Macaca fascicularis: one gene and its partners. The protein of the gene in region 2 purifies or fractionates together with the protein of the main gene of each other region. This does not show direct contact. Links are inferred from orthologs where the notes say so. Each region holds a gene or a part of one and is shown on either strand. Other genes may lie near its edges. The genes, in order: FGFR1OP2, STK26 and SIKE1.

Evidence for each region.
Region 1: the proteins of STK26 (region 2) and FGFR1OP2 purify together in Homo sapiens (affinity purification with mass spectrometry; 4 studies listed by BioGRID and IntAct, with this or other methods). This does not show direct contact. The link is inferred for Macaca fascicularis from reciprocal best matches to the Homo sapiens genes STK26 and FGFR1OP2.
Region 3: the proteins of STK26 (region 2) and SIKE1 purify together in Homo sapiens (affinity purification with mass spectrometry; 4 studies listed by BioGRID and IntAct, with this or other methods). This does not show direct contact. The link is inferred for Macaca fascicularis from reciprocal best matches to the Homo sapiens genes STK26 and SIKE1.

The regions. Positions count from the first base shown.
Region 1 is NC_088385.1:29,681,029-29,685,440, reverse strand, and holds the start of FGFR1OP2 (FGFR1 oncogene partner 2), read right to left. Parts: upstream 2,909-4,412; 5' UTR 2,669-2,908; intron 1-2,668. UniProt on the Homo sapiens protein: May be involved in wound healing pathway.
Region 2 is NC_088395.1:138,326,855-138,330,503, forward strand, and holds part of STK26 (serine/threonine-protein kinase 26), read left to right. Parts: intron 1-547; coding exon 548-733; intron 734-2,151; coding exon 2,152-2,300; intron 2,301-3,649. UniProt on the Homo sapiens protein: Serine/threonine-protein kinase that acts as a mediator of cell growth. Modulates apoptosis. In association with STK24 negatively regulates Golgi reorientation in polarized cell migration upon RHO activation.
Region 3 is NC_088375.1:119,590,510-119,594,802, reverse strand, and holds the start of SIKE1 (suppressor of IKBKE 1), read right to left. Parts: upstream 2,900-4,293; 5' UTR 2,828-2,899; coding exon 2,657-2,827; exon of another isoform or gene 2,607-2,656; intron 2,436-2,606; coding exon 2,330-2,435; intron 1,506-2,329; coding exon 1,363-1,505; intron 1-1,362.

The DNA of each region.
Region 1 (4,412 bases), on a different chromosome or scaffold from region 2:
GGCAGGAGAATGGCGTGAACCCAGGAGGTGGAGCTTGCAGTAAGCCGAGATGGCGCCACTGCACTCCAGCCTGGGCGACAGAGCAAGACTCCATCTCAAAAAACAAAAAAAAAAAAACAAAAAAAACAGACTTCAGTAAAAAAGGAATATTCTAAACTTTTTGACCTATTTTTGTAGTGCCTATCTTAACTGGCCATAATACACTTACTTACATTATTTTCTCTAGGCAGGTCCAAATTACAGGTGAATCTTTTTTTTTTTTTTTTTAGCAAGTTAAAAAAATTATTTTTTTCTTTTCTGCATTAGTCACATTCTCGCCCACTTTACCACCCAAAGACTTTTGCAGTCAGACTCCTGGCAGAAGGCTCAGAACATTCTGCTGCTGATAAAAGAGAAACCACCACCCACCCAAGACAGCAATTGCCAGCTGTTTACTTTCAGATTTTGGTTAAGAAAAATTTAAGGAAATTCAAGTCATATTTTTCAAGCCAACCTCAGAAAATAAATGGGAATATATATGAAATGTAAGAGAAATTTTAAAGACTAAAAAAATTTCAAGTATTTTCTAGATAATTAATAAAAGCCTAGCAACCATTTTAATTAGGCGTCACATTAACTATAAGATCAATGAATGTTTACTGATTGGAAACTTTGTTTCCCTTATCGGTCAATCCACTACTCCTACCACTACATCTACACAGAAATACTGTGGCTACTGATACACCACAGATGTGTTTTTAAATGTCAACAATCTAGTTTAAATTTTTTCATGTTCAGGTATATGTCTCTAATATTATATGAACTGACCCATATGAAAATAAAAAAACTAAAAGGTATAGTCATGGTTTTCATATAAACTTATAATCTTAAGAATGCAAGAAAGAATGCATGTAAATTACATATAAAAACAAGCATTTACACAGACATATCGCTGTATCTGAAAGCAAAGAAAATTTTCACTGTTCTTTAAAACAGTGGAATGAATATACGTTTGTAACTGTATAAAGACACTTTCTGAAGAAAATTAATTTTTAAAGTTGGAAGAAAGATTTTGGAAGTAATGACACGAGGATTTTTTTAAATATTACACGTTCCCTTAGAATTATGGCTGAATATAAGTTTCATATACATATGTTTAAACAGTTATGACAATTCAAGAAGGAACCTAATATAAACCAGCTATTTCTAACCTACAGGCGAAGGAGTCAGTGGAAGAGTTGCCTGAATGCACATACTCCAAGCACTGTCTGTAGTCAATGGAGATTTCTGCTCCATTTCTCAAATATAAAGATACTACAAAAATAAAATACAAAATCATTTAAAAGCATAGTAGTTTTCTGTCATTATACGTAATTTCAATCAACAATTACTAAAAGTACAACTGCGTGTGTATTAGAAGTGCAGGGTTTCTCACATTCAAAACAGGTCAGGAGCCTTTAAGCCAATGTACAGAGTTCCTTCTGGCTCCAAAATTCTATGATTTTAAAGGATGAAGAACTCTTATGGTGAATTCTTTAGAACTATTCAATTTCAATAAATATACATATGTATATATAAATAATGCTTGCTACGTGTCAAGTATTGGACTTTTTCTCAGAGATGAATAAGACCTGATTCCAGACAGACCCAGGTTCAAATTGGCAGGAGAGGCAGATACAGAAACAAATAATACAACCTAATAAATACTGCAGAAGAAATGTTTCAAATGCGTAGGGAGCACAGCGGTATCAATGTCACCTGGGGGAGTATGAGAAGACAATGATTTATGAATTGGGTTTTGATAGGCGGTAAAAGAAAGGAACAGTAAATATCCTAGACAGATGGTACTGCACGTACAAAAGTACAGAGCTGTCAAAGTGCATGGCATGTTTGGGGAAACAGCCAGTATAATCTGGTATGGTCGGATATTAAAGCAAGACTAAAAGGTAAAATGGATTGGGGCAGACTGTAAAAGATCCTGAATGATGATGTGCTTAACAATTAGGATTTGATTCTGTCAGCAATACAGTTACTAAAAAGTTTAAGGAAAGGACAGAGATAAATATGTATTTTAGAATAACTCTATGGAAGGATTATAGCAGAGAAACCAGTGGAGGGCGGGGGGCGGGAGGGCAACCGCACTAATTCTGGCGAAAAAAATAATAATAATACAATGCAGTGTGAGTGGAAATGAACCAAGGATGATTCCTGGTTTTCCAGTTTGGATAGCAGGACAGATACTGGAACCGTTATCAGAGATGGGATACAGAAGAAAGGCAAGAAGTAAACCAGAAAAGAGTAATACCCCTTGGAGAGCAGTTTCAAGAAACAAGTTATCTCCATTAGACGCTGCAAACAGGTGACTGAAAGGGTCCTCCGTCCGGTGGTGAGCCCGCAGGTGGCCAAGGCAGGATGAAAGTAGATACGGAAGGTGTGTCCAAAGCGTTAGGGCCAAGGCTTTTCACTAAACTTTCCGCACCCCATCTCCATTATGAGGAGCTCGGAGCCGGAGGGGTGCGGAGAGGAACTCCGGTTCCCAGGAGCTGGGAACCTGCGGCTGGAAGCGGCCAGGGCTGGGCGCCGGTGGTTCAAGAGGCGCAAGGCACCGGCCCGGGCGAAAGACTGCCCCAGCGAAGGACGCCTCCGAGTCGCCCACCCCTGCTCCCGTCCCTGGATTTAGTCCACTTACTCTGCTCTTAGTCCCTCGCAGCCGTCAGCTGTGGCGATGCGGACTCAAAGCCTCTACTAACCGGGACCTAGGCACTCAAAGGAAGAGACTCTGCGCCCCTAATCCGCCTCCTCAGCAAGCAGACGCAGAGCCGCACGGAGGCAGCGTAGGGGTGTCCGGACAGACAGTGGCGTTCAGCCCCATCACCGGATGGGTAGACACCTCCGCCGACCGCCTCCGACAGGCTCTCCCGGAGGACTCCAGCCTCGCGAGATTTCCTTCCTCGCGTTACGGTGGGGCAAAACCGACCACTCTCCGCTTTGCGCGAGAAAGCGGGGCGGGGCCCTTGTATGTCCCTCCCTATTCCTCCCCTCCCAGGCCTTCGCTCGGCCTCTCGCAAAGTCTCGCGAGTTTTTCCAGGGGAAACCGGCCAGGGTGGAGAGACAGAGAAGGGGAGACCGGGTGGGTGGGCCGTACGCTCAGGGGGCCGTGGTTGGTACTTCGCTGTTGGGGAGGCTTTCAGGTCGCCCAGATCCTGCTTCCCAATGGGTGACTGGGAAAATTAGTGGGTGGAAAATCTCGAGGGGTGGAGGCTTTTTTTTTCCTCTTTGGCCCCGCCCTCTTCCTGTTCGGCGACTGGGAAGCCTGGCCCTCCGAGGGGGAAGGGAGACTTGGCGGGGCTGTCGGAGATCGCTGTGCGCACGCGCGAGCCCGAGTGTGTGAGTGTGCACGCGCACGCGCGCTCTTGCTCTCAGGAAGCCTGGGAAGGACCGGTGTGCTAGGAGATGATCGGGGAAAGCATAGTCCCCTGTCTGTGGCACCAGACACTCCCGACTGTGCGCTGACTCTCCCCACCCAGCCAGCAGCCTTTTCCAGAGAGGCTGTGGTCCATAGCCTCTTCGTTTTCACTGCAGGACCAGGCACGAAAGTAAGCGAACCTCGATCCTGAGGTCTTCTTATCCACTCACCTTGTATTTTCCACCCCCCACCCTGCAGCAAAGTGGGTCTAGAAGGTTTCTCAGAGAGTTTTGCGTGAAGGGGAGATGCGTCTTGAAAGCAGGAGGTGAAAATAGCTGGATCGTAAGAAATCAGTTCGTTTTGATTAACACTTTGGCTTTGCTTGCCATGTGCTTTTCGAATGTGGATTGTCTATTCAGTATAAGATTTTGTTAGCGAAGCAGGGGAGTACCATATGCTCTGTTTTAATAAGTAAAAGTTTTAAAAGTTTTAAATTTCCTCTTCCACACCAGTGTGATGGTAACAACTAAGTTTTTCTGCTCTACCTTGTAAATTACTGTGATGTTTCAAAAGCTAAGGGGAGAGTGTGAAGTTGGGGTCCTCATCCTAAGGCGAAGACCTGATGTGCGGTTATCTTAGGAGATGTTTATCTTTGTTTTGGCCTTTTCTTTTGCTGTCACTCCACTTTCCTGTTAATTCCGCACCCCTGCCCCCCAGTCCCCCTTTTCCAGAAATCTTCAAACGTTTTTCTAGGAGGGAAGTCCAAAAATACTGGCTTGGGGTTTATATGTGACGAACGTCAATTAGCAAGGACCATAAAGGTGTATTTCAAGAGTATTTGTCACTTACTATGTTTCGTATATGTAAGGGAATCAAATACAATTAAATGTCAAAATGTTTCCCTCTGACAATTTTAAGTTCATTTTAAAAGCAAAACCAAAAATGTATGCACTAGTAATTTTGTCTGTGCCTGGTAGAGTAACAGCCTCATATGGTGTATTGATACCGTTGCTTTCTGGTCATGACC
Region 2 (3,649 bases):
GTGGCCTCGTGGTTGTTCCTCAAACATAGCAAGTACACCCTGGCCTCAGGACCTTTGCACCTGCCCTTCCCTCTGTCTGAAAAAATCTTCCTCCCACAATCAGGTCTGCTTAAACATCACTTACACAGAGAATTCTTCCCTGGCCATCTTATGTAGATCTGCAACACTCTTGCCCCCATCATTCATTATTCTCTTACTATGCTTGTTATTTTCTTCACAGAAGTTAACACCATCTGGCATCATATTATGTATTTATTTATTTATTTGTCTCTCTTATTAGAATGTAAGCCCCTTAAGAGCAGGGATTTTTGTCTGGCTTATTCACCACTGAAATCCTCCATTCTGAGAAGGGTACCTGACACAAAGTATGGAATTCATTATGTTTTAAATAAATGAATTATAGTAATAAAAATTTATTAACACCACATTTTCTTGAGAGACAAGTACTGTATGACCATTAGGTTCCACAGACTATTTTGTGGTAGTATATTGTAATGGAGTTTCAAGGTGATATACATATATATATTTGTTTTTCCTTTTATCTTAGGCTGACATTTGGTCGTTGGGAATTACTGCTATTGAACTAGCCAAAGGAGAGCCACCTAACTCCGATATGCATCCAATGAGAGTTCTGTTTCTTATTCCCAAAAACAATCCTCCAACTCTTGTTGGAGACTTTACTAAGTCTTTTAAGGAGTTTATTGATGCTTGCCTGAACAAAGATCCATCATTTGTGAGTATATATTGCTATCATTACTATTTATTTTCTATTATTAGATCTACTTATAGCAAAGGCAGCTTTTCCTGCAATAGGGAATACAGTGCATGTGAGAATTGTCTAAGATCCATCCAGGAACTTGGTTCTTCCTTCTGTACTGCTACTTCTATTGAGTTATTAACCAGATTCTTCATTCTTTTTCTCCTTACCCTTCATTTTTTTCTTGGTACCCAGCTTCCTCCTTATTCTATTCATTATTTCCTATTTCAGGGGGAAATAAATTTGAGAAGTAAAGTTATCTTTATATTATGTCATTATTAAAGTGCATGTATAAATACAGTGATTTTTATTCAGCTGTTTTCATTTTTCATGAAAAGTTATGTTTGGGTTTAACTGTTTTTTTTTTTTTTTGAGTCAGAGTCTTGCTCTGTTGCCCAGGTTGGAGTGCAGTGGCGTGATTTAGGCTCACTGCAACCTCCATCTCCCAGGTTCAAGCGATTCTCCTGCCTCAGCCTCCCAAGTAGCTGTGATTACGGGCACCTGCCACCATGCCTGGCTAAGTTTTGTATTTTTAGTAAAGATGGATTTCACAATGTTGGCCAGGCCAGTCTCGAGCTCCTGACCTCTAGCGATCCGCCCTCCTCAGCCTCCCAAAGTGCTGGGATTACAGGCATGGGCCACTGCGCCTGGCCAGGTTTAACTATTTTTATTTAGTGTTTAGAAACTTCACCGTGGAGTTGTATACTTTTCCTAGGCTAGTGAGCTCCATTCATTTACTTGGCAGATTCGATTACAGTTGTTTTGCTGTTGTTGAAATAAAGCTGCCTTGTGATTTTTCGAGACGAGAAATACACAAGAGCAGTCCAAACTTGATATAACTATTTTTAAGTTGATGATAAACATTGTGATATTAATAAAGTGAAGGCGGGACATTCTCCACAGCACCTGGTGTTTGCATTTAGATGCAATAGACATTGATGTCTGATGGAGAAGGGATTATAAGATATGTGTAAATAATAACAAAACTACAGCCTTGCAAGTTTTCATCAGTTTTTTTCAAATTTACAGTAAATGTGATTAAAGTATTTTAGAACATTACTTTGAAATGTTTTTAAATGTTTACTTTCTAAATACTGTCATGTGTCTCTCTGCTTTTGAGAAGGCCCTGCCTGCCAGTTTGCTGGTGGGTAAGCCACCTGCTGCCCATTGGGCTTTAACAAATTTAGACGCCAAAGTAGTAGATTCAATGCAGTTGCCTTGAGCCACTTCAATAATAGAATTAGCTATTTTCCTACAGCATTTTAGTTGTTCTTATATCTACAGACATACCTTTATACCTTTCAGCTTAATAATTCAGATGATTTTTTAACCATTCCTTGTAATCATAAGAGTTCAACAATTGTAATATGCAGCCTTGATCTTTTTATCCTTAGCGCCCTACAGCAAAAGAACTTCTGAAACACAAATTCATTGTAAAAAATTCAAAGAAGACTTCTTATCTGACTGAACTGATAGATCGTTTTAAGAGATGGAAGGCAGAAGGACACAGTGATGATGAATCTGATTCCGAGGGCTCTGATTCGTATGTACAAATTATTTAATTTTTATGTAGGTAGCCTATTTAAATATTGTATATCTTTTAGCTATGATCAGTGTGCTTGTTCTAGCATAAAATATAAACCATATTTTGAAATTTCACCTTAGAAACTGTAAAAATCTTTTTCAATCACAGTCTAGAATACAATGAAGTTGGAAACATGTTTTTCTTGGAAGTGAATAGCTCTAGTTTTAAATGGTCTTGGTCTAACCCCTAGTGGATACTTGAGTATATTACAAAATTTTGGAGCAAGATTCAATTAAAAGTGTTATATTAGTTTGCCCAAAGTAATAAGGAGCTGTGTTTTCTCATACTTTGATGGCAACCTGCAAAATCCCTCTAAAGAACTTTCCTTTCCCACCTCTTGGCCATGTACCAAATCCAGATCAGACTGATACATTTGAATATTCATTTATGTGTAATTTTTATTTCTTGAAAAAGTTGTAGTGTTTTATAACAGCAGCGTTTACATTAAAAATTCAGCCTCTAAGTCCGTCAATTAATTTAGACTAGGAAAGTCTGTATGCTATGCCAGAATTTAGTCCTCTACCAGCTGAACTGGCAAAAAGGCAACACCAAATTTATTTAGATACTACCCTGAGATTCTTCCATTTATGAGAAATTGCTCAATGTTGGAAAGGGATAAAAAATATCAGAATAATTTGTGCCCTATTCTGATGGGTGTTAGCCTTAGCTTCCCATAAGAGTCACTCATGGAACCTTTTTATTTTTATTTTTATTTTTTATTTTTTATTTTTATTTTTATTTTTTAAATTTATTTATTATTATTATACTTTAAGTTCTAGGGTACATGTGCATAACGTGCAGGTTTGTTACATATGTATACTTGTGCCATGTTGGTGTGCTGTACCCATCAACTCGTCAGCACCCATCAACTCGTCATTTACATCAGGTATAACTCCCAGTGCAATCCCTCCCCCCTCCCCCCTCCCCATGATAGGCCCCGGTGTGTGATGTTCCCCTTCCCGAGTCCAAGAAGGATGAGTTTGTGTCCTTTGTAGGGACATGGATGCACATGGAACCTTAAAGCAATCGCAAGCCACACCACTGGAGATCCTGATTCAATAGGTGGGGAGCAGTGAGGGACAGGTATTTACATTTGGTAGGAGGTCTCAATGAAGCACACATCGAGCTGAGAACCACTCCACTACCACTCTGTAGTAAAATGTAGTATTCACCTGCAGCTGAGATCAGATCTTTTTTGTACCAGGAGTTTTTAAACATTGGGACAATTATTCCTTTAGATTCTACATACATCGATTTGATATTTTTGCCAAGCTGAATCATTTGGTCACTTATAGAGGTATCTTTGG
Region 3 (4,293 bases), on a different chromosome or scaffold from region 2:
ATCACCCAATAGGTCCACCCTCCAATAAAAATATTTGAAACGGAAAAAAAAATCAGTTGTAGTTTAACTACCCATTGGATGTTGGATACTACCTCTAAGTGGCTGTTTAACTTAAATTTGAATACTTTCACTGGCAGGAAGCTTACTACATTCCAAGGTGCCTTATTCTATCTTTGGACATATCACTTAGAAAGTTTATCTATCTGAGTAAACTGTCTCTTTCAAAGTTCAGGTTTTTTCCTCCATATGAGAATAAATAAAATCTATTTTTCTCTTCCAGTTGAAAGCCATTCAAATATTTAAAATATCTGTTTCCTAAAACTTTTAAGTCAGTAAAATGCATTCAATGTAATTTAAGATGAAGCTTATATTTCACTACATCTCACAGAAGTAGTAGGCTCCAACTTATACATCTAGAATTAAATGACACAGTACACACGAATGTACAATGACAACCATGAAGCACCTACAAACATAAGAACAATTACCGAGTCTCCCAAATTAGATAATAAGCAATCAAAGCATAGAAACTATGCCATGTTTGTTTTTTTTAAAAACCATACTTCTATCCCCTAATAACATAGTATGATGCTATGTGGTTCAGTTTATAAAAGGTTTATTGACTGCTTGCTATATGTCAGGTACTATGTTAGGAATAAAATGTGAATTCAAGTGCCTCACAACCAAGGAGCTTAAGTGAAATGTATAATAACCAACCAAGTATTTACTGGGCACCTTCAACACTAACTGACATTACGTTTGGTGTGAGGGCTAAGAATTAATGAACATTTTCAAAAGAGATCTTGGTGAGGGAGGGGGAACGTTAGTCCCATTCAAATAAAAGGACCTGAGCAACCACTATCCTTCTTTCTATTCATATCTTTACAAAGCCATGGCAAAATAAACAACAAATATGATAAACATGAAAGGAAAACAAGCTTACTTTTCTTCAAAAACAAGCACACATGGCCAGTCACAGTGGCTCATGCCTATAATCCCAGCACTTTGGAAGGCTAACGTGGGTTGATCGCTTGAGCCCAGGAGTTTCAGACCAGCCTGGGCAACATGGCGAAACCTCATCTCTACAAAAAAAAAAAAAAAATAATAATAATAAAAAACCCCACAAAAATTAACAGGGCATGGTGGTGTGCACCTGTAGTCCCAGCTGCTCAGGAGGCAGAGGTGAGAGGATGGCTTGACCCCAGAAGGCAGAGGTTGCAGTGAGCTGAGATCGTGCCATTACACCACAGCCTGGTCGACAGAGCCAGACCCTGTCTCAAAAAGCAAAAAAACAAGCACACAATCTAAAACAATCTCAAGATTTCAATTTGGTTCATTTCAAATTTATTCGAAGTTTCTTACTGCAGAGTGAGACTGGTGAGCTTTCAGGACTGGTTCAGCATCCACAGCTTTTTTAGCAACCATTAACTGTAACATCTGTTTCCGGTACTTGCTCATGATGAGCTCCAAAGCATCCTGGTGTTCCTCCAAGGAAATCCACAGCTCTGTCAAAAAATAAAATAACTTGGCAGTGATGTCTGAGAGACAGTTCCCAAATCCAAAGTCTTAACAGTTAGAATTTTGCAATACTATAGAGATAATATGAATCCAAGGTTGTAAATCAATGTTTCAGTCCACAAAACTGAGCAGTTAAAGTCTATGTTAAAGGTAACTTTCTAGGCAGAGAAGCAAAATCTTGCAGTAACAACAACGGATATGTCATCAGAAGACATGGATTTGAGTTCAGTTCTGTAACTTGCTTGGTTAATACTCATAAGTAAATCATTTAGCTTCTCTGAGCCTATTTCTTAACAGCATTGTGATAGATAAAAATGAAGATATGAGAATACAGTAGAATGATATATGTGAAACCCCTCTGGTAAACAACTATTAATACTACAGTCATTAATAATGTACTAATCAAGCCTAAGAATATATACCCTTAGAGTAAAATTCTGCTGCTTCACCTTGCACAAACAAGAACATAAACAAAACCTTAAATCTTACCTTCAGTGTTTATATTAATATTTAAACATTAAATTTTAAGTCCATGAGGATATGAACTCTTTTGTTACACATCTGGAGATGCTTAAAAATAAACCATGCAATAATTCTAACTCTACATAGCCCCTCTTTGGTAAGCTGCTACAAAATCAGTCAGATGACCTTGAAATGGGTAATCTAACAAACTTTACTGTTACTGAGCCAGCACAGGAGGACTCTCCTACTAAAAGTACTGACCTGGAAATAGATGCACACCCTTGTGAATGTTTAGGGCAATTTTGCAGTAACTTTAAACTATTACCAGATATGAAAAGGCCTGACTAACCTCTGTTTTCCTGTTGCAAGTCTCTAATCTGTGTGTTCTCTTGAGACAGCAGAATGTGAGGTTTGTATTTGGACATGTCCTTCATATCGGATGCATCCTCTTGATACTGGACAAATAGAGACAGTCTAAGCATGCCTTAAAGAGAACAGCGGCAGATGCAACTCAAGTGGCAGAAGTCAGGGCTCTAGGGCAGGATTCTCAGCTCCGACCCAGGAAAAAGGTCTCACCGCCGCCCTCTGAGACCGGGAATAAATTTCAGGCCGAGTTCCCACTTTACCTCGCTCTCCACCCTTCAGTGCCCAGAATCCGAGAGCACTGGACTCCTACCCTCTGCCTGACCTGGTCCGGAAGCGCTGTCCCCGCCTCCCGCATAGCGGCTACCCGCCGGTGCAGCGCTGCCGACTGATCCACCAGCGACTCGGCAGCCGCATCGTGCTCCCGCAGCCTCTCCAGAAGCGTCTTGGCGTCTGTCAGGATCTTCTCGATGGTGCAGCTCATAGCAGCAGCACAACCCCAGCCCCTGCCGGGCTCAGCTACGCGACTCGCTCAGATCTTCTGGGAGTCTGTCTCAGCATTACTGGCGTCACTTCCGGGCACGTTTAAAAGGTGTCTTGGCAGACGCAAGAGGCGCCTGCGCAGTGGCACCCTATTTTGCGGGTTCACCCGCTTTTACCTGTGGCTTCCTTGCAGTCCTGCCTGACGCGGAGCCCCAGACCTGCCCTTACCACGCTCTTGGTTTCCAGTTGCCACAGCCTGGTGGTCAGGCCATGATGAGCTGGGCAGAAGGAAGGTCTCTTTTCCCCACTGGTTTTCATTGATGTGGATTGTTATTCAGTCACAGTTATTTTCTTTTTATTTTCATTTAATTTTTATTTATTTTTTTTCGTTTTTGAGACGGTATCTTGGTATCTTGCTCTTGTCGCCCAGACTGCAGTGCAGTGGCGCGATCTTGGCTCACTGCAACCTATGGCTCCAGGGTTCAAGCGATTCTCCTGCCTCAGCCTCCCGAGTAGCTGGGATTACAGGCATGCACCACCATGCCGGCTAATTTTTCTATTTTTAGTAGAAACGGGGTTTCACATGTTGGCCAGGCTGGTTTTGAACTCCTGACCTCAAGTGATCTGCCTGCCTCGGCCTCCCAAAGTGTTGGTGTGAACCACTGCGCCTGGCCTACTTTCATTTAAGTTTTAAAAAATTGTGGCAAAATGCACATAAAATTTAATATCTCAGCCATTTTTAAGTGTACAGTTCAGTAGTATATTCATATGGTTATACAGCCACCATCAGCATCCATTTCTAGAACTCCTTCGTCTTGCAGTACTGAAGTTCTGCACTCTTTAAACAATAACTCCTCATTCTTCCTTATCCCCAGCCCCTGGCAACCACCATTCTACTTTGTCTCTACAAATCTGACTATTCTGGGTACCTGACGTGAGTGAAATCATACAGCATTTATATTCATATAACTGCCTTGTTTCACTTAGCGTAATGTCCACGAGTTTCATCCACACAGTAGCATATGTTAGAATGTTCTTCCTTTTTAAGGCTGAATAATATGTATATGCCACGTTTTGTTTATCCATTCATCCGCTGGACAGTTGGGTTGCTTCCGCCTTTTGCTATTGTAAATAATGCTGCTATTACAACTGGCTCACGTCTGGCTGTTTGTTGCCTAGAGGCCAAAATCATGAGAAGTGACTGATGATGAAAGGAAAGCAGTTTTACTAATCAAACGCTCGCAGATGGGGAATGGCTACACTCATGCCTTCAAAACAGCATTCCGCTTTTTTTTTTTTTTTTTTGTCAACGTATCCCAGAGACAGTATCAGTGTCCAAACTTTAATTTTGTCCCATATCAATGCCAGGGTGGTGTGCTACCTGTCCTGAGTCCATCATGTCACTCCTGCGGCCAACCGACTTAGAGTCAAAAGAGTTACAGCCAATTAAACATTCTAGGCCAGATG